Saccharomyces cerevisiae S288C: one gene and its partners. Changing the gene in region 2 together with the main gene of any one other region gives a genetic interaction. Each region holds a gene or a part of one and is shown on either strand. Other genes may lie near its edges.

Region 1 (9,368 bases), on a different chromosome or scaffold from region 2:
TTTGGGAATTGCTCATGTTGTTTTCTCAGCTTCGAATTTTGATTCAAGTATGACTATGCAAGTTGATGAAATGACCTTGTCTTCAACAAGGGTAGTGCTATCAGAATCCAATGATTCTTCGAACTACCTGGAAATACCTTTGGTTCAAGGTATGGGATTTGCAACTGGTATATATCATGGATCTTTAAATGCCAAGATTGGTTCCAGCGTCGGATTCAATACCATTGTTTCTGAATCATCAAGCAATTTAGCTCAGGGTATTCTCAAATATCGTATCACCCTTTTGAATGGAGTCACTTGGTTATGTTACGTGATAGGACCAGACGATTTAACCTCAACGGACTTTTCATTGGAGGTGAGCTCAGAATATGAAATTAAAGCAAGCGCTAGTGTTGATGGTCTTATCATTCAATTGGCCGTCGCACCTTCTGAAACTGATTACGAGGTCTTTTATGATCAAGCCGCAGGTATGTACGTTACTAATTTCAAGCTGCAGGGTGTCTCTGACGGTTCTACAGCTACCTATGAATTTTCTTATACCACCCAAGGTGAGTCGGCATCAGGTAGCACAATGATTTTTGCCTTGCCCCATCATGAATCTTCATTTAGTGATATAATGCAAGACTACTATACCGGCATTCAACTCGCTTCTACAACTAAGGGTGTAATGAACGGTTATCTAACAACGAGCCTACAATTTTCCACATCTCTAAACAGACAAATATCTTGGTTACCATGGTCTTCTCAACTTGGCTCAAACCTTTTAGAGTATTCTAAAGAACAATTGCAATTATTAGCTGAAGTTGCCAATTCCGAATTACAGGTTAGTATTTCCGAAAGTATAAGCGGGTTAAACACATATTATTTGGGTAAAGTTATCGATAAGTATTCTTACATTCTATTAACGGTCTCCGAAATCATCCAAGATGAAGCCAGTACTAAGAGTACTTTGGAAAACATCAAATCGGCCTTTGATATTCTGCTACAAAATGAACAGACGTATCCACTAATTTACGACACAAAGTTCAACGGTTTGGTCAGTTCAGGAGATTGGGGTTCCACCAGCACGCAATACGATTTTGGTAACACTTATTACAATGACCATCATTTCCATTATGGTTACATTATTCATGCAGCTGCTGTCATCGGCTATGTTGACTCTAAACTGAATGGTACTTGGGCTGCCGACAATAAAGATTGGGTCAATTCATTGGTAAGAGATGTCGCAAATCCATCTGAAAAAGATGAATACTTTGCACAATCGAGAATGTTTGATTGGTTCAACGGTCATTCATGGGCAGCTGGACTTTATGAAAACGGTAACGGTAAGAACGAAGAAAGTAGTAGTGAAGATTACAATTTTGCCTATGCTATGAAGTTATGGGGGGCCACTATCGGTGACCAGTCAATGGAATTGAGGGGTGACTTGATGATTAGTATAATGAAGGATGCAATGAACGACTATTTCTATTATCAAAATGACAACACAGTTGAGCCTGAAGAAATCATAGGAAATAAAGTGAGTGGTATTTTATTCGATAATATTATCGATTATACTACTTATTTTGGAACAAACACAGAATATATCCACGGTATTCATATGCTACCTATCACACCAGTTTCTTCTAATATTCGTTCTGAGACTTTCGTCGAAGAAGAATGGCAGACTAAAATCGAGCCAATTATTGAATCGATAGAAAGCGGCTGGACAGGCATATTGAAGCTGAATCAAGCACTCTTCGACCCAGTAGATTCGTATGCATTTTTCAGTGATTCAACTTTTGATTCATCCACATATTTGGATAACGGAATGAGTCGCACATGGGCATTAGCATTTTCAGGGGGACTGGCCAACTCAATTGCTTAGAAAGAGAACTTGGCAAGCAGGTCTGTCGAGTCTTTCCCACTACATACATATTTTATAGAATAAATCATTTTTACTTAACTTGAAAGTTGTTGCGTTCGAAAAGACCACGGCTAACGGAGACCACTTAGGTAAATGCATGCCAGTAAGAGGTATATTAGTACTTTAATGAATGAACTTAGCAAGGTAATGCCTGCACTAAAATAAAATTCTAACGTCATCCTAAGAAGCATCAATTGGACATAGTGAGGAAAAGTTTTCACCATTTAAAATTTGTTTTGCAGAATACCATTCTAGACTATGATCCCTTAGAGATTCTCATTCTTTAAATATCAGCTTCAACAGCATATCTTTATAGTATTATCGTACTACTGGCGACATTAGCAAATCAAAGTATTTTTGCTCAGTTTCTAGTTTTATCTGTTTGATTCCCCATTAGATGGTAAACACGTTGTCTTGATGACTGAAAAGGAAGTGAACATGGTCAACTCAAAATAACCAGACTCAAAATAATTGCAATTACCTAGGCTAGATATTTTTAGAATATTATGAGAATATTTTTAGAATATTTGCAACCCAAAATATATTTAAATGCCGCCAATTTGCAACCAAAAGATTATCCGCTACCTTTTTTTTAGTCATTGAATCGTAGCATAAAGTTCCGAGCTTTGAAAAAAAGCTTTGAACTAAGAAAAGGTAAGAGATCCTCAATTATGATATTACTCCAAGTCATATGCACGATTTGGACATGTCTCTTTATTCCGTTACTCAATGCAGAGGAATTCGTCCCCAAAGTAACGGAGACTCTTTCAGAATATTCATTTAGTCTAGAGAGCTTTGACGATTCCAACAGTTTAATCAGATTAGATAATCAAGTCGTGTGGATAAGTTCCGATTCTGGAGAAAATTGGGAAGCGGTCAAAGAAATTGAAGGGCATATTCTCGAATTAATTGTTGATCCTTTGCATGGACAGGACAGGGCTTTTGTTTCGATACATTTATCACCCAAATTTTACGTCACCGATGATCGTGGAAAATCATGGAGGGCTCTGACTATACCCGTCTCTGAAAACTGTCGTTTGGGTACTTCTTGCTCTATAGCTACCCATCCGACAGATAAAAAGTACCTTATTGCAGATTGCCCTTGCTTTATAAACGACAATGGTTATATCCAAATACAAAATGAAACTTACTTTACCAACGATGGGGAATCCTTTTACAATATCGAACCTTCCTTGAAAAAGAAAGAAGATGACCATATAACAAGTTCAAGCTGCAACTTTGTCAAATCTAGCAAGGATTCTGATATTGAGGGTAACGACGCTTCGATACTATGTTTGTTCTCGAACCATGGTTACGATAGCGATCGTCACTTAAGTGCCGCATATACACAATTAGCCTTAAGTACTGATGGAGGTAAAACTTTCAAAAAATTTGATGAGTTTAATGATAAAATTATTTATCAATACAAGATATTAAAATCACATATAATCGTTTCGACACAAGATGATAGATACAATGAAATGTCACCCATGGACATCTGGATATCCAATGATGCGTCTACTTTTCAAAAGGCACGTCTACCTGCTCAAGTACGGCACGTCCATATGTATGGAATTTATGAAGATTCTATTGGAAGAATAATCATTCCTATATCTACGATATTCACAGATGAAAAAAACGACCAACCAGCTCCCTCAGAAATTTTAATATCAGATTCTCAAGGGTTGAAATTTTTACCTGTTGAATGGACAATAAATCCTCACTTTGGTTATATTGATATTGCTTCTCCTCATTTCTTAGAAGGAACAATAATTGGCTCGTTTCATCCTTCCTTTGACTACTCTCATAACAAAGGAAAATATAATAAAAAGATAGCCAGATATGAAACTAAAATATCTGTTGATAACGGCCTCACATGGTCAAATTTGAAAGTGGTTGACGAGGAAAATGCAGATTCATTCCCTTGTGATATCACTAGGCCTGAAAGATGTTCGCTCCAGAACCCTTTTTATAGTATCTAAATCTCAAATCCTACTGCCGGAATTATGTTAATGACAGGTTCCGTTGGCGACGGTAGTGAATTCGATTGGGAAGACCAAAAAACTTTCATCTCTAGAGATGGCGGTTTAACGTGGAGATTTGTTCATAATTCTTCTGGGTTATATGCTACTGGTGACCTGGGAAATATTATTGTGTATATCCCATATGATCCAGAGGAAGATGGCGATTTTCAATCTGAATTTTATTATTCTTTGGACCAAGGTAGAACATGGAATGAATATGAGCTGACCAATGCCATAAGTTCTGTCCATCCCTACAAATTGATAAATCCAACACCAGATGGATCTGGCTCAAAATTTATTTTTAAAGGAACGTTTGCCACTACCGATTCCGAAACCAACAGTATAACTTCTTTAAAAGGTGTCGAGTATATAATTGATTTTTCAGCAGCATTCGACTCTAGAACGTGTGAGGAGGAAGATTTTGAAGATTGGGATTTGGCGGATGGGAAATGTGTTAATGGCGCCAAATACAAGTATAGAAGGAGGAAACAAGACGCCCAGTGTTTGGTAAAAAAAGCATTCAAAGATTTGAGTTTAGATGAAACGCCTTGTAATAGTTGTGGTGAATCCGACTACGAATGTTCGTTTGAATTTGTTAGGGACGCAAACGGCCTGTGTATACCAGATTATAATCTGATTGCCTTTTCCAACATATGTGACAAATCGAAGGATAAATCTGTGTTAGTAGAGCCATTACAATTAATCAAAGGTGATGAATGTAAAACACCCATGAAAATTGAACCCGTTGATATTCCGTGTGACGAAATTCCAGAGGAGGGTTCGAGTGACAGGGAAATAGTGACCACTGAAAACAAATTTGACTTCGAAATTAAATTTTACCAATACTTCGATACAGTTGCCGACGAATCTTTGGTCATGCTGAATTCGATAGGAGACGCCTATATATCCCACGATGGTGGACAAACAATAAAAAGGTTTGACACTAACGGCGAAAAAATTGTTGAAGTTGTGTTTAACCCATATTTCAATTCTTCAGCATATTTGTTTGGCTCTAAAGGTAACATATTCTCAACACACGATAGAGGACACTCTTTTATGATAGCTAAATTACCTGAAGCCAGGCAATTAGGTATGCCACTAGATTTTAGTGCTAAAGCACAGGATACTTTTATTTACTATGGTGGCAAGAATTGTGAATCAATCTTAAGTCCAGAATGTCATGCAGTAGCATACCTCACCAAAGATGGAGGTGAAACTTTTACAGAAATGCTTGATAATGCAATTCATTGTGAGTTTGCAGGCACACTCTTTGAATATCCGTCAAATGAGGAGATGGTTATGTGCCAAGTAAAAAAGAAGTCTTCAGAAACAAGAAGCTTGGTTTCTTCGATAGATTTTTTCCAAGGTGATAATAAAATTATCTTTGAAAACATTATCGGCTACTTGTCCACTGGTGGCTATATTATTGTTGCCGTACCTCATGAAGACAATGAGTTGAGGGCATATGTAACTATTGATGGTACTGAGTTTGCCGAGGCAAAATTCCCGTATGGTCAAGATGTTAGTAAGCAAGAGGCATTCACTATTTTAGGATCTGAGAAAGGATCGATATTTTTACATTTAGCAACAAACTTAGAATCAGGACACGATTTTGGAAACCTTTTGAAATCCAACTCGAATGGTACTTCTTTTGTCACTTTAGAGCATGCCGTTAATAGAAACACATTCGGTTATGTCGACTTTGAAAAAGTTCAAGGTCTTGAAGGTATTATTATTACCAACATCGTTTCGAATAGGGAAAAGGTTGGAGAGAACAAGGAAGACGAACAATTGAAGACGAAAATCACCTTTAATGACGGTTCAGATTGGAACTTTTTGAAGCCTCCAAAGAAGGATTCGGAAGGGAAAAAGTTTCCCTGTGATTCTGTATCATTAGATAAATGTTCTCTACATTTGCATGGTTACACTGAACGTAAGGATATCAGGGATACATATTCCTCCGGTTCCGCGTTAGGAATGATGTTTGGTGTCGGAAATGTTGGCGATAAGCTTCTACCATATGAGGAGTGTTCCACTTTTTTAACCACTGATGGAGGAGAGACGTGGACTGAGGTTAAAAAAGGCCCCCATCAATGGGAGTACGGTGATCATGGTGGAGTCTTGGTTTTGGTCCCCGAAAACGCAGAAACTGATTCTATTTCTTACTCCACCGATTTTGGTAAAACATGGAAAGATTATAAATTCTGTGGCGACAAAGTCCTCGTAAAGGATATAATCACCGTTCCCAGAGATTCTGCTTTGAGGTTTTTGCTATTTGGAGAAGCAAAAAACATGGGTAGTGGTTCATTCAGAACGTATACAATTGATTTTAGAAACATCTTCGAGAGGCAATGTGAGTTTGATATTACGGGTAAAAAAAGGGCAGATTTTAAGTACTCTCCTCTGGGTTCCAGAACTGGTTGTCTATTTGGTCATCAAACCGAGTTTTTACGTAAAACCGATGAAAAATGTTTTATTGGGAATATTCCACTTTCTGAATTTTCGAGGAACGTCAAAAACTGTTCATGTACGAGGCAAGATTTCGAATGTGACTATAATTTTTATAAAGCCAGTGATGGTACTTGTAAATTAGTCAAAGGCTTAAGTTCGGCGAATGGTGCCGATATCTGCAAAAAGGAACCCGACTTAATTGAATACTATGATTCCTCTGGCTATCGAAAAATTCCCTTATCAACCTGTAAAGGTGGGCTGAAATTGGATGCACATTTAGCACCACATCCTTGTCCGGGAAAAGAAAAGGCATTCAGGGAAAAATATTCTATAAACACCGGCGCTTATGCGCTGGTTTTTGTTACAATTCTTCTCGTTATTTTCTTTGCCGCATGGTTTGTATACGATAGAGGTATCAGGAGAAATGGGGGATTTTCAAGATTTGAAGAAATAAGATTAGGAGACGATGGGCTGATAGAAAACAATAGGACCGATAGAGTTGTCAACATCATTGTAAGACTAGGATTATGCATTTCTTTAATTACCAAGTCTGCATTTCAACGCACGAAGGCAGGTGTAGCACGCTTTTCTTCAAAATTAAGGGCAAGGTTTGGCAACAGAAAAGGTCCTACTTACTCTTCGCTGCTTCAGGGTCAGTTTTCAGATGAATCAGATGGCTTGCATGAAGATGCTAACGATTTATCCAGTTTCACAAGTCAAGACAGTAATTTTGAAATTGAACAAGAAGATGCTTACAGACCCGAACAAGAGCACACGTCACAGATAGACCAGCCTGCCACTAGCAATATTCCAGACGCATTGCCAGCACGTAGTGCTATTCACAAGCCTGATTCAACTGCTGTGCGCAACGAGGACGAGTAAATAGATTTTTTTAATAGACTAAATAATCGTATGTTTGCTAACAAAAAGTACGCATATGCATTTTCTCAATATTGTGCATTTTCTAAATCTCCATTCACCTTTGTTATTAACATAGTCATTTAAAGGTATGATAATTCAGTATTCATCTTTTCCACAGACGGCGCTGCATGCCATTCGTCTGTAACTTGCCTAGGGACTGCGCCGCACATAATCGTGACAGAAATTTCAAAAGTGATAGGAGCCAAAAGTGATAGGAGCCAAAAAGAACATATATAAGCACGATCAAATTAACTGAACTTGACCACTTTTCTTTCACTGTCAGAATTGGACGAAGGACAAAAATGTCAAATATCATTGCAAGATTTCACAAGATTCAAGTTCAAGACGGTGTAAAGGTTTGGTACCGTGAGGCCGGTGCAGCAGGTAACCCCACAATTTTATTGCTACATGGGTTCCCTACATCTTCCAACATGTTCAGGAACCTCATTCCCTTACTAGCTGGACAGTTTCACATCATTGCTCCGGATCTTCCTGGGTTCGGATTTACGGAAACGCCAGAAAACTACAAGTTCAGCTTTGATTCCCTTTGTGAAAGTATAGGATATTTGTTAGATACTTTGAGTATTGAAAAATTTGCCATGTATATATTTGATTATGGATCTCCGGTAGGTTTTCGGTTAGCCTTGAAGTTTCCCTCCAGAATTACTGGCATTGTTACTCAAAACGGTAATGCTTACGAAGAGGGTCTCGATGACCGCTTTTGGGGTCCGTTGAAGGAATATTGGAAGTCATATCAAAGTGATCCGGTATTTGTTAAATCCCTTATCCCGTACCTTGAAGATCCAGCTAATGTCATATGCCAGTACCATGATGGAGTACCAGCTATCGAATCTGTTGATCCCGCCGCTTATACGCTTGATATTGCGCTAATTCAGCGTACCGGCCAGACCGATATTCAATTGAGATTATTTTTCGATTATCAGAATAATATAAAGTTGTACCCAGCCTTTCAAAAGTTCTTGAGAGATTCAAAGATTCCTGTGCTAGTTGCATGGGGTGCGAATGATACTATTTTTAGCGTTGCCGGGGCTGAAGCTTATCGGAAAGACGTTGATAATTTAAAGGTTGTTTACTATGATACTGGCCATTTTGCGCTTGAAACTCACGTAGTTGCTATTGCCGAAGAAATCATCAGTATGTTTGCAGAAAATTAAAGATACTAAGTTCTTGTGACAATGTTTTCTGAGAAGAATCTCTCGTATTTTGTTTAATTGCCAAAAACACATATGTTTCGACTCACATAGAGTTGCCTCAGAGCGTTCTTTTGTTACCCATTATTGCTCATAAATAAGTCAAAACAGATGTCTGGTCGCATTATCAAGGGTTTGTACTGGTAGCCCGGTGACAATATATTAATCTAAGCATATAACATTTTTAGTAAGTTCTTCAGCCACCTTTTTTACGATCTATGTTGTTTTGAAGGGTAAACCTACTACCATGTCATATGGATCTTTCCCCTAGTAAACTTGTATCTCAAAAGGTCATTTCTGAATAAAGTGTCAAAAAATCAGCTAGGAAACGGTTTAGTAAAGTATGCGACCCCAAAATTCGACAAAGCTATCACCACTCAGCTGTACTGGACTGATCGGATATTTGATTATATCAATAAGGTTTTGTTCAATAGGAAGTACCTGAACTAAATCTTGCAATATTTCCAATGCTAGAATGTATTCAAATAGTTCAGTACCTTTAAGGAACTGCACCACCTGCTTATACCTTAGGAGTATAATACATGAAATACATAATGTCAGTGACGCTGTTCTTAAAGGATAACAAAAATTCCAATCCAAACGTTCATGCCTTTCCTTTTCGTTATCGGGAAACTGTTTAGTGTATTGACTCCATATTTCGTGAATTATTGATTTTGCCATGGTTACTGCTTGTAAGGATTCTCCAGTGATCAGATACGGACGATATAATAGAAAAGAAGCTTGAGCTCTTAAACATGATAGCTCTAACATTAAGACTCTGCTCCTGTAAAAAAGATGTTCTTCGAATATCGGAAAGCCTTTTAACCTGGTAATCTGGAGTGAAACCTCCTCAAA
Region 2 (6,788 bases):
GATCGAGGTTATAAAGTAACCACCATAGTAGAAACAGTGGTAGTATGGCAGTTACCTCATGCAAGATGAAGAATGATGTAAGTGTTGGAACCGTGCCGGCCTCACTGAGGCGGTCGAAATAGTGTGAAAATTTAGGATTCTTGTTTAACCTTGTTAAAAGTCGTGACTTGGAAAATATTTTACGTAGTCTATCCTCCCTTCTTTTCACTGGATCTAAATTTCCCGATATGAATCTAATTTGGGTTGATCCGCCGGGCCTGGTGTTCATAAACGTGGTCAATTGCGTTGGCCTTTTAAGCATGAGCTCCAACGGTCCAGAGCCCATCTGCAGTTGACAGGGCCTGAAGAAAAGATTCATGACAGTCATGTTCCTGGTGAGGGTGCCTTGGGTGTAACACTTATCCTTACACGGTCTCTCAAAAGCAATATTTTTACATTTCTCTTCTTTGCTTCCTGTTCGTATAACGCGCTGAGAGCTGGTAAGAACAATAGGCCGAGGCCCTGCATCAAAATGTCAGTAGGGGACCTGTTAGGTACCCACTAATAAGTACAAGAGGGTTTTTATTTTCTAAGAGCCAATAATTGGCATTCTTTATATACAGGAAAGGTACATGTCATTCAAGACATGAGATGATCCACAGCTTCTTTACATCTGTCACACAATTTATCCTCTTCGGCTGAGTTGGCCTTCCAACATCTGGGACAGTTGTGCCTTTTGCTTCGTTCAACCAATATTTGAACGTTTATTCCGCTTCCCAATTCAATAGTTGGTAGACTGTTATTATTATCGTCCATTTGCAATATATCAACAGCAGATGATTGCAATATGTCGCAAAGCTCGTCAGAACTGAATGGGAGGTGATGCTTGGTGAAAATGGTAACGTGACTATGTGTTGTTTTGGTGACACCTTCTTCTAGACTTAACCTCTTGAATTCCTCCTGGAACTGTTTTAGAATTTTTAGTTCAAAGTTTTCAAAGGAGGTGACGATTTCCGTATTTGAGTCCAAAAACGGCCATTTTCCACGCATCGGATTAATGTCTATATGTTCTTGTCCTTGTAACCATCCTTCTGGTATATACTTCCATACTTCTTGGACCATAACGGGTAATATTGGTGCAAGAATTGCCCTATATGCATTTAGTATATGGACAAGCGTTGTTTGGACCTGCCTTCTTGCCAATGACGATATTTGGTTGGAATATAAAATATCCTTTGAGATATCAAAATAAAACGCCGATAGCTCGTTATTTAAATGATATTGTAGAGTAATGAGAACCTTGGAAAAGTTGTACTTTTGGTAGTGTTCTCTCGTCGTTTCCAGCAGTTCGTTTATCTTATACAAGGTATATTGATCAACACGGCGTAATTGTTCAATCGGCAAAAGGTTGAAATCTTGGGACTTCTGTAAATTACTCAATAAATAGCGAAAAGTTAGTCTAACCTTTTTTAGAGCTTCTCCTACATGTTTCATCACAGTCGGGCCAGCAACTATATCAGTTGTGAAATTCGATTGTGCTATCAGATACCTCAAGCCATCAACACCCAAAGCTGGTAAGCCTAAGTTTTCATCGCCTCGAATTATTGCTTCGGGAGAAATTGTATTTCCCACAGATTTTGACATTTTCAGACCATTCTCATCTAGGGTAAAACCATGAGTAATCACTTCTTCATATGGTGCAACAGGGACATTACTTGATGCTACTTTTGTTAGCAGTGAACTTTGAAACCATCCTCTATGTTGATCAGATCCTTCTAGACAAACTTGGTACAGGGGGGATGGGAGTTTTGACAACTTTAAGCTTTTTTCATAAAAGTCTTTGATCACACTCCATGACGACCCACTATCAAACCACACATCCATAGTATCTTGAGAACGACAGTATTCATGCGCTACGTCGTGATATTTTTCTGGCAACCATTCTTTCATGTCATTATCTTTATCGTTAAACCATGCATTAATTCCTTTTTGTTTGATTTTTTCTATGGCATGTGCCAAAATTTCTGAATTCATCAAAACAGAATCCGGTTCGCTCTTCTTGTAAAAGCTTAATATAGGGATACCCCATGAGCGTTGCCTAGATATGCACCATTCATTTCTGCTTTTCATAAAGGATGAAAGTCTTGAATAGCCTCTTTTAGGACAAAACTTGACGCGGCTGATGCTTTCCAGAGCCAAGTTTTTTACATCGTGTAAATCTGCAAACCACTGTGGAGTAGCTCTTATTATGACAGGTTTCTTGGATCTCCAGTCGTACGGATAAGAATGCGTGTATTCGTGAGATTTGTAAAGTAAATTAAGGTCGCTTAACTTACATAGAATGATTTTCGCGGTTTCGGCATCCAATACTTGCCTACCTTTTGTTAAGTCTCCTTCATCTCTCACGATGGATCTGACGGACTGAGGAAGTTCATTTAATTGGTAGCGGCCCTGGTGATCCACGGGAGAATAAATTTCAAGACCATTTTGAATACCAATGAGATAGTCATCCTGTCCATGCCCTGGTGCTGTATGAACCAATCCAGTCCCTGTACCGCTGGTAACGTGTGCACCATGTAATAAGGGCCTGCCAACCTTATCGTCTACTAAGAGGTTTTGATAATATAGCCCATTTAGATGAGTTCCTTGAAACTGTTTGATAGTCTCAAATGAGTTAGTTGTTAGGCCCAATTTATCAATGGAGCCGGTCTCTACAAGGATAAGTTCACTATTTAAGCGTAATAGGGAGTAGGAAAAATCCTGATTGAAACAGATTGCTCGATTAGAGAGAAGAGTCCATGGAGTACTGGTCCAAATCAAACAGTATATAGGCAAGTTATTCGTTATTCCTAGTTTTTTGCACAGATCCATCTGGGATTTCTTTTCAAGAGGAAATTTAACATAAGCAGCGATGGATTTATGGTTTTCATTATATTCTAATTCGCCCTCTGCTAACGCTGTTCTAGTTTCTGTACCCCAGTAAACCGGTTTGTTCTGTCTCTTAATCAGTCCTCTTTCGTACATTTCTTTAAAAATATTTAGCTGATTAATTTCATAGTCTTTATCCATTGTTAGGTATGGTGTTTCCCAGTCCGTTAAGATGGCAAAATGTTGGAAAGTTTCCCTTTGCCTCTTGATTGCCTTTTGTGCATGTTTTAAAGCCATTGACCTGATTTTTAAAGGCGATATTGACTCGATCTGTTGCGCGCTTAAATCTTTCAAAGCTTTAATCTCGATGGGTAGTCCATGACAATCCCAGCCAGGCTTATAAAAAATGTACTTCCCCTGTGAAAGTTGATATCTGTTTATGATATCTTTCAGAATTTTATTTAGAGCATGACCGAGATGGAGCTCGCCGTTGGCATAGGGCGGTCCATCATGTAAGATGAACAACTTTTCTTTAATGAACTCTAATTTTTCATCAGTCGTATTAAGCTTTGAAAATTCTTCGAAGAAATCACGTAGCTGCTCCTTGTAAACTAACTGCGAAGATTTTGGTATTAATTCCCTCAATGTAATCTCTAAGTTTGATCTATTAGGGAATTTGGTCTTGGGCAAGTTTAATGTTTTTTGGTAGGCATGTTTGGCGAGATATCGCTTGCTAATAATGCTAAAGATATGTTGAGGCACAAGCCTGGAGCGCTTCATAAGTAGCTAAAGATCGTTCTTAGTATACTGTGTTCCATAACTTCTAGCCTTGGTCCTTTATATTTGCTGTTTTTCTGCGTTTCTTAACTCGCTTGCGGAAAAAGAATCGACATTTTCAGAACAGGATTTTATTGTTTTTAAAGTACATTATATGGGGCGACACATCATCGCCATCTATGTTAAATATTTAAAGAATACGGGGTAGAATTATTCACGCTGGGGGATGCTGAAAGAGGAGTATAATTTGAGCGGTGCTGATAACATGGCATCTGCTGAGTTGTCATTTAAAAAGCAAAAAGTGGTATTGAAAAAGTTCATGATAGCGCAAGTGACTAAGGGGATTATGCAGCGGTATGCGAGCCTATTAGTTACCATGCCTAGTGATGATGACAATGCAATTATTGGCACAAATCATTTGAAAACAACCAAATTTTTAGAAATAATCCTACACAGAGCCAAATCATCGCATTTACAGTTCAAAAAGGTCTGTTGCATTGTCATCAAGTTTCTAGATTGCTGCTCGAAGGAAACTAACTACATGAAGTTTTTAAAGTTCAGCTTACACAAACTATTTGTAGCTGCTTTCATCTTAAGTGTGCCAAATGTTGTAGGCGATGACCGCGACAGGATTACCACGAGGGATGAAACCTATCATCTCTATTCCCAGATAACAGGCTTGCCACTGGAAGAAGTGATAAATTGTTGTTCTATTGTGAGGCCTGTACTTATTCGGCGGAGTAGACAACAACGCAGGCAAATGTTATCTCGACGTGAACAACATTCGTACTTCCTCAGAAGTTCTTTTATGAACTCCAATTCATCAGCATCACCTTTTTTCTCTACCAATAGGTCAGCTGATGATCTACATGTACATACAAGGGCATACTCGCTTCATAGCCATTCCGATGGGGAAGGCCAAGATAGGCGGTCGGAACATGAAGAAACGCATAGCATGGGGGCTGATGCCGATACATATCGACAAACTACGTTTATCCCAGACACACCAAATGGTTTGCATTCTAGATCATTAATTGAGTGTGGGATCGAACCCACCCAAGTAAGTGACTCTGGTGAATGGTCGGGTCAAAGTAACGGATATGTTTTGGTGACAGAATTACAGGAGTTTAACAAAATGGGTAAAAAGTTAGTACAAGAAGCTTTTAGGATAGTTTAATAAAGTATGGTTTGTCGTTTTGTTCATCATTCAAGGGTCATTTTTATTTCCATTTATGATTTCTTGAGTACAAAAGGCAAAAAAAACATGTATAATTATACACAAGAAAAAAAAACAAAACAAAAGAACACTTTCACACAAGCAAGTATATATTATGAGAATTTTTTCGAGTCTTACAGAACCATATCTTGCCTCTAAATTTTAGTCTAAAAATTTTGCTAGCCCATCAATTTTTTTTTTGTTCTAATGCAAAATATAACATGGGTAAGAAAAAGAAAAAGCCGTTCCTCAGTACGTAAAGAGATTTGATCATTAACAAGTTGGGCTCAATATACACAGTCGATAGTCTATATGTGCATATGAAACTGGCGCAAGACATGAATGTAGATGAAATATTTCTCAAACAAGCGGCAGAAGCTATAGCGGTAATCTCATCAAGTCCCACTCATACGGACCCCATAATACGAGAGCTACTCCACAGAATTCGACAATCCAGCCCATTGAGCGCAGTTATACCAGCACCAGAAAATGTTTTAAAGGCTGGGGAGCCGGAAAATATGGCTAGAGGTCTTATAAGGATTCCAGAAACACAAACAAAAAGAACAGGAGGTAACAACCATAGCAAGGAAGGCGCACAGCTCTACAGCTGTGCGAAATGTCAGTTGAAATTCAGCAGAAGTTCTGATCTGAGAAGACATGAAAAGGTACACTCACTCGTGCTGCCGCATATTTGCTCAAACTGTGGCAAAGGGTTTGCCAGGAAGGATGCTCTAAAAAGACATTCTAACACACTGACCTGTCAAAGAAACAGAAAGAAACTAAGTGAAGGTTCAGACGTTGATGTAGATGAGCTCATCAAGGATGCGATAAAGAATGGTACCGGCCTGTTGTAAGGCTAGAGGAAAACGTATTTGTCTCCATCAGCACACCTACACATACATATATAGATAGATATATACTTTAGCCATTGAGATAAGTAGAATAAAAAAACGTTGTAATATTCCGATACAGTTAGTGACATGTTCTCTACTTTTGCCAATTTTTTGCGCACAAAGTGGTGACGTACAAGTTCATCATTTCACGTGTGCAGCATAGTGTGGTATATTGTTTTTTTATATTTTATTTTTTATTTTTTTTTTTTTGCAGAAAACAGTGTTTGTATTATATGCTTTAGATATGCTAAAAAAAATGAAAAAAAATGGAACAAAATATGTGTTTTTTTATTTAACGTTAAAATTAAAGATTAAGTTATTTATTCGACGTCAGCATCAAAAGTTTGACCTTCAACTAACTCTGGAATAGCTTCATCCTTCTTTTCAGCATCAGCTGGAGCCTTGGCTTCGTGCTTTTCCATTTGGGCAGCCAATTGAGACAAGGCTTGGATGGCTTCAGGGCCCAATTGAGAGATAATACCTGGGAACAAATCTTGCAAGTTCTTTTCCTGTGGTAGACCGTAGAATACAGAAGTGTTGTGTTGAGCAGCAACTTGGACACCGACCTTGTTGAAGTGCATGACCTTACCGTCGTCCTTGAAAAAGTTGGCTTCGGCGACGTTGTCAATGGTGACAGCGTGCAACTTAGCTAATTGACTTTGCAACTTGGTGTCATCCTTGTTGGCACCGGCAGAAGAGCCTGCCTTCTTGTTAAGCTTTCTTCTAGTACCACCAACTTTGTTGTTAGCAGACAACTTTTGTAGCTTAGCTAATTTTTCTTGGTCAATTGGCATTATGAATTATGAGTCGCGTCTGGTGTGAGATGTTCTATTCTTAAACCTCCCTAGAAAGAATATTCGCTCTCTTGTGACAAAGGAGGGGTTACTACTTAACAAGCAATTGCAGCTGTTTCCACTACGAAATCTTCCAATGTCAACGAAAAAAATTCAAAAATTTTCTGCTTTTTTTTTCAACATCTGCCGTACTAAATGATTCCACAATAATCCATCATATACCATTACCCTGATTCCCATCGAAGAAAAGGCGGTGTCCCC
Region 3 (8,087 bases), on a different chromosome or scaffold from region 2:
TCGGACATGCAGATCTCCGTTGGTATATGTATGAGTATATAAATGGAAGATAAATTAAACGGATGATATATTATGCAAAGGGGTGTCTGCCTCGATTATTTATCGTTAACTCAATTTTAATAGTTAAGTTTATGAGGCTTGGTTGTCACCGAAAGTTGGTCGTATCTTAGCGCGTTTTCTTGTATCCAAGTTTTCCTCTTCGTCTTCCTCACTGGAGTTTTCTGGTGACAGTATTTTTCTCTTAACTGTGTTTAACGACTTTATTTTTGTATTCAATTCGTTGTTTCCTTGAATATCAATCCCCTGGGCAGTTCGTAGAGGGGTTGTTGGGGGGGTTCCGATTGAGTCTTTTTGGGCCTTCATTTGCTTTCTCAAGTCGCTCGCCTCCCTTTTTAACTGTCTTAACTTCTTAATTTGATCTTGCGTCTTGAAGAAATCTGGTATTTGGGATTCAAGAAATGTGACCCAATTATCACAATCTGAGTGGATTTGGTAGTCTATAATGCCGTGCCAAGAGGATTCGCCAATGGGTGTCTTGTTTACGAGAATGATCAGGCCGCCACGATCGTGAATTTTCTTACTTAATTTTTTTACCAGTTGTTTCACACCATCAACTTTCAAACTTGTACCCATGATGATCAAAAAATCAGGATTGCCTTTAATTATGTCAAGATTTAGGCCTTGCGTAATAATTTCACAGGATGGATGGTTTTCACCATACAGGACGATATTAGGTCTTAGAATACCCACATTAGAACCAAGAGTTCGCTTTCCTTCATTCAATCTCTTGTTGATAAGTGCTTCGCAATCCGGACACAATGGTAACTCACCTCTTCTTAGACAACGAGACCAGTACCTGCTCCAGGGAAAAGTCTGGAAGCACTTTGTACACGAAAGAGTTTTCAGGTCGCCGTGCAACTGAACGACATCCAGATTTTTCCAATGTGAACTAAATGAGGTAAGCGGTAATTTCCTATTTGATAAAGTAAGTCCTATGCTTTCTTCGAGCCCATCGATGTTTTGCGTGTAACAGCGCAGCAGTTTGTTCCTATCTTTTAGATGCGCAATGAACTTGTGCGTCTTAGTCGGCTTTGCCAATTGAACATTTGAATAGAGCCTCTCCATAAATTTAGCAAAAATGGATATTTTGAAGTCATCTCTAAATAGCGAAATATCAAACATTTCCCTGCCGGACTTGATAGACCAATACTGTGAACAATCCTTTTTCACTAGGTCGTAGAGCCCATCAGAAGAGCGAAAGTCAGGAATGCCCGCGTTGCACGAAATGCCTGCCCCAGTCAGACAAGCAATTCTCCTAGATCTGCTCAACTGCTTGGTTACGCGCCGGAGAACTTCATCGTCGGCATCAAGACCTATAATATGTGCCAGTTTCTCAGTCTGCAAAGAGGACGGTAAGTCGGAGCACATTGAGCCCGATCGACTGGCAGGTGGCGAGGGCGATACTGAAGTCATTTTTGAGAAAGATGGATCTAGTTGTATGTAAATTAATCCCTTCAGTTTTTACACCACTAACCACGTATTTGCCCTTGCTTGTGTTATATATAAGACGTACGCCAGATATAGTTCTCTGGCACGAATAACATTGCTTGCTTTTATTGACGTTTTACCCTTTGTGGTAACAGCAAACATAAACGTCGTTCGTGATGTTGAGTTACTTATTGTTACCCGCAATTGAGGGATACCCGCCACAGAAACACATGCAGTGCATTTGCCACTGTGCATAGCCGTAGGAAGAGGGAAAAACGAACAGGGAAGAAGCAGGAAGAGCAGACAGCAAGAACCCGTGCTAAGGAAGGTGATGAACTTTGGCCACTGAAGGCGCATTTTACCTCTGAAGGATCCCGTTTCCACATTTGTAAGCTAGTGTTCGTTCATATAAACACCCTGATCTTCGGCATTTCACTACTCTTCGGGCTCACGCTTCTCATCCAACACTTTGTGTATATGTCCATCTCCTCATGATGAGTCCCGCCCAAGATAAACTGCAGCACCAGCATCATAATCCTAATTCTTCCTCATCGTCATCCTCTAAGATGACGAACGTTTATCAGGTTACCACGCCAAAGTCTCCTCAGGATTTGGAAAACAACATGGATGAGCCCTTCAAAATGGACACCGCCACCAGTAATCCGGACAAGGATAGCGAAAATACCCAGCGGTTGAAGTACGAATGTGCCAAAGGGGAAATACAGAATGTTTTGAACCTACATATAATGCTAAACCACAAGCATGTTAGGCACTTACGAAGAAATGTTCAAAAGGTTAACGCAAAACTAGCTCTCTTGGAAACCCTGCATAAGGATACTGGTCTATTGAACAAAATCGAACGGACGTATCAACTCAAAATAAAACAACATCAGCAGCATAGCGTGCTCGGCGGCCACTTTCACGACAGTACGGCTACGGAAAATACGAACGCATCAAATTATAACCTGTCATACCCGGTTCTATCGGATTATAACATCAACTGTCAGCCTTTGTCTTCGAGCAGCAACAGAAATCTGTCAACAACACGCATACCACACCACCATTATCATACTAGAAGCAAGAGTAACGGGCTTTTGCTAGAACCTTCTGCCCTCCGTCCGGCAAATTCGAATATAATTGATTACAGGCTAACAGGTTCTAAATCTCTATCAGAAGCCATAACCAAGCCCACTCCCGTCTCGCTTCCTCACTCTAATTCGGATGGCATTTCTTCACCTCGTTCCTCCTCAATCTCCCCCTTAGACGAGCAGCCGGGGTTCCAGATACTCCCTTTTAAACCAAGTCAGATGCATCTTAACCACAGACGTAATTACAGTAGCACTTGTTTGACGAGCAATAGCGGTATCATCGGTAAGACTGAAAATAATGAGCCCATTTTTAGAAGATATGACGGCATTTTGGTTATAATTACGTGCTCCAAATGTGACCGTTCCGGTTTCACTTCCGCGCAAGGTATCGTGAACCATACTCGACTAAAACATTCTAAACTATATTCAAGCCAACCATTGGCAGTTTTAAACAACCAAAAACTACTTCCTAATGATAAGCAGGATCCGGAAATTTTATCTAAGTTCAAGAAACTAAATTTGGACCCAAACAAAGACTACCTACCCTCTGACATTGCAATCCCAAAACCACAATCACCAATCAACCACTCCGAGAACCATACGCGGGCTCCAAAGACTGTCAAGAACACTCCTCATTTAGAAAAACTATACCAAAATAAAGAAGACTTCAAAAAACTGATTGACATGGTTAATGAAACTCCGGATGATTTGAATGAATATTTGAAGCAACGTGAAATTCAATTAAGATATCAAAAGGAGCAAGAAGAGGAATCTTCCAAATCTGATGACGAAGCTTCTTACGTCCCATCACCGTCTCTCTCAGCAACGGCTACAACAACAACGACTACGGACCCACCCTCTCCGCCAGTGCTATCCTCCTCCTTACAAAGAAAATTGCTGCGTAAGAGAAAACTGAGCTTGAATAGCTCTACTCCCATGGAAGATTTACCTTTAAGAGAAAGGTTGAGAGCAAATCCCACTGACAAGAAACCAAGAAAAGCGGCCCTTTTGACTAATGAACTTGAGGGTCCTGATCCTGCAGCAAAATCATCATCTTATTACAATCTAAGGTCGAAATCAAGACTGCGTGGTTCTCATACATAGTACACACATATAAATAAGTAAATTACGTAATATAATATTCTGTTGGTTTTCTGACCTAATTTGTCGCTTTGGAAGAAAAAGTGGATTGTATTTTTTTGCATATTCCCTAATATTGAAGATCACTGAATATACTCACAGTGAACAATTACTTGAAATGCTACGGTTTACTCATCGAGGCCTTCCCTCCAGCACTCGTTTTAGAAACATTTTCGTAAGGTTAAATCACATTTATGTACCATGGTTCTATGCCATAGACGTACCCAACTCCAAACCCTATTTACCCACATATCAAACTTTACACTCACCCAAAAAGTTTAAGCCGTTCTCCGTTGATGATTCTAATCGTTTGGAAAAGGCCAGTAAGCGTCAAGAACGCAGGCCTGTTTTAGTCAACGAAGATTACCTGTTTAAAGTCGACCTCTCTCACATGGAATTGTCCCCTACCTATTGGGAAGGCCCTACTTATCAAGTACGAAGAGGTGTGTGGTTCGACTCTTCAAATCAACCTTTGTCCAGTGATCTTACCTCCGAAATTGAAGGGTTGTATAAGCAGCTCAAATTCGACGACAGTAATGATGATCCGACCACGACACCTCCTGCAGAATCGCAAGATATATTTAGGCTCAAAGGTAAATACCCAGTCGATAAAGAAAACGAAGGAGAGCAAAAAAATGGATCCAGCAATAAAGATGAGAACGAATCTACTTTCAAGTTTATTTTGTTTGCCAATAAACAAACTGCATTTTTACTATCGGATTTAGATGGAGGAAAACTGCAATTAGCCTTTCTAAGGTCTAATCTGGCTCAATCCTTACCGATTAATGCTACAATGATTACAAGATCATACAAATATTCATCCTCCGCAACTACTAAACAGACATCCACATCTTTTAAGGCAGCAAAAACGCCTCAAACGGAAGTAGCAGATGGTAGTAACAGTTCCAAATCGAGGAGCATTGAAACAAAGTTAGAAAAGAAAGTTTCAAACCTCTTCAATTTATCGGACTTTTTACAGTTGTTCAATGGTAATGCTAGTAAAGATCAAGATGATGCACAGAGCTTGGAAAAGCAAATGGAAACAGACTATAACAATGCAGATAACAGTCAAGGCGCTAATGCTAGTAGCAAAATAGAAGATGGCAAAAATTCGGGCGCAAGCGATAGACAAATTAGAAGTAACAGAAGAGATGTGGATAACTTGATACTATGCGTTCACGGTATAGGTCAGACTTTGGGTAAGAAGTACGAATACGTAAATTTCGCACACACGGTAAATCTACTTAGGTCTAATATGAAAAAAATCTACAATAATTCTGAGAAACTACAATCATTAAACACAGCACCTGATTATAAAAGCAACTGTAACGTTCAAGTGCTACCCATCACCTGGAGGCACTCGATAAGTTTCCAAACGGATGCTAAGGAGGAAAATATAGAAAATCCTGACCTACCGACTTTGTCACAAGTCACAGTAAATGGAGTGTTACCCTTGAGGAAGCTACTGGCTGACGGTCTACTAGATATTTTGTTGTATGTCGAACCATACTACCAAGATATGATTCTACAACAAGTAACCTCTCAATTGAACAAAACATATCGGATTTTTAAAGAATTTAATCCAGAGTTTGATGGGAAAGTCCATTTAGTGGGCCATTCGTTGGGTAGTATGATATTATTTGATATTCTATCCAAACAAAAAAAATATGAATTAGAATTTCAAGTAGACAACCTGTTCTTTATTGGCTCACCAATTGGATTGTTAAAGTTAATTCAAAGAACAAAAATTGGTGACCGTCCCGAATTTCCCAATGACTTGGAGAGAAAATTAACCGTACAGAGACCGCAATGTAAGGACATTTATAATGTTTACCACGTCTGTGATCCCATTTCTTATAGGATGGAACCTCTTGTTAGTAAAGAAATGGCTCATTACGAACAAACTTATTTACCACATTGTAGTGAAGCTTATGGACTAACTTCTAAAGTTTTGGAATTTGGCGAAAACATATGGAAAGATTTGCCAGGTACTGATGAAAATAATTTGCAGTCCAAAAAAACTTCTCCAGAAAAAAAAGAGGTCAAGTTATCAGAAAATCTTACGAGAATGCTTACAGGTTTGAATTACACCGGACGTCTAGATTATGCTATGTCTCCAAGTCTGCTAGAAGTGGATTTTATATCAGCTATAAAATCACATGTTTCTTATTTCGAAGAACCGGATATTGCAGCGTTTATCCTAAAAGAAATTTTAAGTAAACATGAAAATGCATCAGAAATATATGTAAAAAGAAAGACTGGTTGATCAGTAAACGCAAGGCACAAGTTTTTTTTAACTTTTTTCTTTACTGTCTATTATAGTTCCACTGTGTAAGGTTGTATTCTTTCCGTACTTCAACTTGCGGGTAACAGGATTGACACCTTTTCAATTTTTTCCGTTATTTTGGATTAGAAATTTTCGGTAAGCTCATCGAGTATTGTAAAAGAGCAATGCCCTTTGCTTATTAGATGTTGAGGGGCATATCTATTGTTAATATAGATTGATACAGCTGTGGAGATTATTTCTAGATATACGATGAAGTACATTATTGAGCATATGGAGGAAGGGTTTAGTGAATGGGTCATTTTAGAGTATAGCCAAATCCTGAGAGAAGTAGGAGCTGAAAACTTGATTTTATCATCGTTACCAGAGAGTACCACGGAAAAGGACATCCCTCAAAGGCTACTAAAACTTGGTTTAAGATGGACTACAAAGGATTTGAAGGGCATTAACGAAGATTTCAAGGATTTGGAACTGTTAAAAGATGGCAGAGTCTGTCTATTGGACCCTAGGGCTACAATCGATTTACAGCCGGAGGATGCTACGAAATTCGACTATTTCGTATTTGGTGGCATATTGGGTGATCATCCTCCAAGAGATCGTACCAAAGAACTAAAGACTGCCTATCCGAATCTTTTAATTAGCAGAAGACTAGGTGATAAACAAATGACTACGGATACTGCCATAAGAACAACACAGTTGATTATCAAAGACAGGATTGCATTTGAAGACATCAAGTTCATTGACTACCCTGAATTTAGGTTCAATAAAAATGAGGCCACGGAAATGCCATTTAGATACGTTTTAGATAAAGAAGGTAAACCTATTTTGCCTGAAGGGATGTTGGATTTGATCAAGAAGGATTCTGCTCAAAGTTTGGACGATCTGTTGATGTAGATGAGAACAGTCCTTTAAGTAACATTCTATGGTTGTAATAAGTGATGATGCTTCCTTGTCAAAGAGTTAGTTGAAAAGTTTAGGGTCGTAGCATTAATTATATTGTATATAGTTCAAAAACGACATTCAATGAAAAAATCAAGTTTATTAGCCAATGAATATTTCGTATTTTGCGTTAGTAGCGCTACCAAGACTTCTGAAAAGTGCATGCAAGAAAAATAAAAACAAGGAACCGTTTACTTTTATGATATCATCATTGTCAGGCCAAATAGGATAAAATTGATTGGTTGTATTATGCTTTTTAATTGAAAAAAAAAGTAGAAACTTTTATTATTTTATTTAAATTAATTTCTTTACATTACTTGCATCTAAAACCAAACGAGCTGGTGACTTCAAGCACTGCACTAGTTGCCATGGCTTTGCTAATTCAGACGACCCCCTTGAGGTGAAAAAATAGTCTCAGTAATGAAACAATCATAGGCAATTAGTTCGATTTTTTATAATTATCTTCCAGCCTTTCAAATATTGAAAGGCCATCAACTATCACTTACACCTGAGTGTTGTCATTGATCCGTAAAGTAAAAAGAGGCAAGTTTTGTGCATATTCGTATCATGCACAATGGCCTAAGGCAAGTATTTTCAGTGTTTTTTTTTTTTCATTGCCGTTTTGCTATTCAGAATATATTGAATTATATGTATAATGCATACTTAATAGAAAGAAGGACGCTAATTTTCGTTATAGAACAGTAGTTTCAAAAAGTGCTTCAAGTTTATAGAAATCAGTGCATCCCTTCACTGAACGATGAAGAACACCACCATTTCAGAAATTTTTATACATAATCAGTTGGCTTTCGTATCCTGCCTCGTATCTTTCTCTAAATCATTTAAAAATCCTTCAATACTCTTTACGACATCATCGTCCTTTCCCATAGCATCTGAGTTTGAACTTTCACCGCTTTTTTGTTGGCTCAAGGCAGAACTATTCTTGCCTTCATTTTTGGTTTTTGGTTTCGTGGTAAAGTAAGATGCCACTGCAGCAGTAGCGATAAACGTAGATATAGCCAATACGTGAGGTTGAACCGTCTTCCCAAATACTTTGTATGCAGCACCCATTGAGATAGCTATATTTATTTTTGTATATCTTATGTTTAGAAACAGTAGCGACCTTTCTTACTTGTTCCTTCAAAACTTGA

Evidence for each region. A genetic interaction does not mean that the proteins touch.
Region 1: mutations in YPL039W (region 2) and YNR065C together harm fitness less than expected from each alone (positive genetic interaction), as found in Saccharomyces cerevisiae (one large-scale study listed by BioGRID).
Region 3: mutations in YPL039W (region 2) and DDL1 together harm fitness less than expected from each alone (positive genetic interaction), as found in Saccharomyces cerevisiae (one large-scale study listed by BioGRID).

What each region holds. Positions count from the first base shown.
Region 1 is NC_001146.8:748,245-757,612, reverse strand, and holds YNR065C (uncharacterized protein), read left to right. Parts: upstream 1-3,912; coding exon 3,913-7,263; downstream 7,264-9,368. Other genes in the region: DSE4 (endo-1,3(4)-beta-glucanase), read left to right, coding at 1-1,867; YNR066C (uncharacterized protein), read left to right, coding at 2,578-3,888; YNR064C (epoxide hydrolase), read left to right, coding at 7,605-8,477; PUL4 (Pul4p), read right to left, coding at 8,847-9,368.
Region 2 is NC_001148.4:475,375-482,162, forward strand, and holds YPL039W (uncharacterized protein), read left to right. Parts: upstream 1-3,850; coding exon 3,851-4,801; downstream 4,802-6,788. Other genes in the region: MRX11 (Mrx11p), read right to left, coding at 1-367; isoleucine--tRNA ligase ISM1, read right to left, coding at 619-3,627; YPL038W-A (uncharacterized protein), read left to right, coding at 4,808-4,999; MET31 (Met31p), read left to right, coding at 5,161-5,694; EGD1 (Egd1p), read right to left, coding at 6,054-6,527.
Region 3 is NC_001147.6:371,605-379,691, reverse strand, and holds DDL1 (putative carboxylic ester hydrolase), read left to right. Parts: upstream 1-3,834; coding exon 3,835-5,982; downstream 5,983-8,087. Other genes in the region: NAD-dependent histone deacetylase HST3, read right to left, coding at 130-1,473; AHC1 (Ahc1p), read left to right, coding at 1,980-3,680; protein-arginine N-methyltransferase SFM1, read left to right, coding at 6,253-6,894; MCO10 (Mco10p), read right to left, coding at 7,735-8,007. UniProt on the Saccharomyces cerevisiae protein: Probable phospholipase that hydrolyzes phosphatidic acid.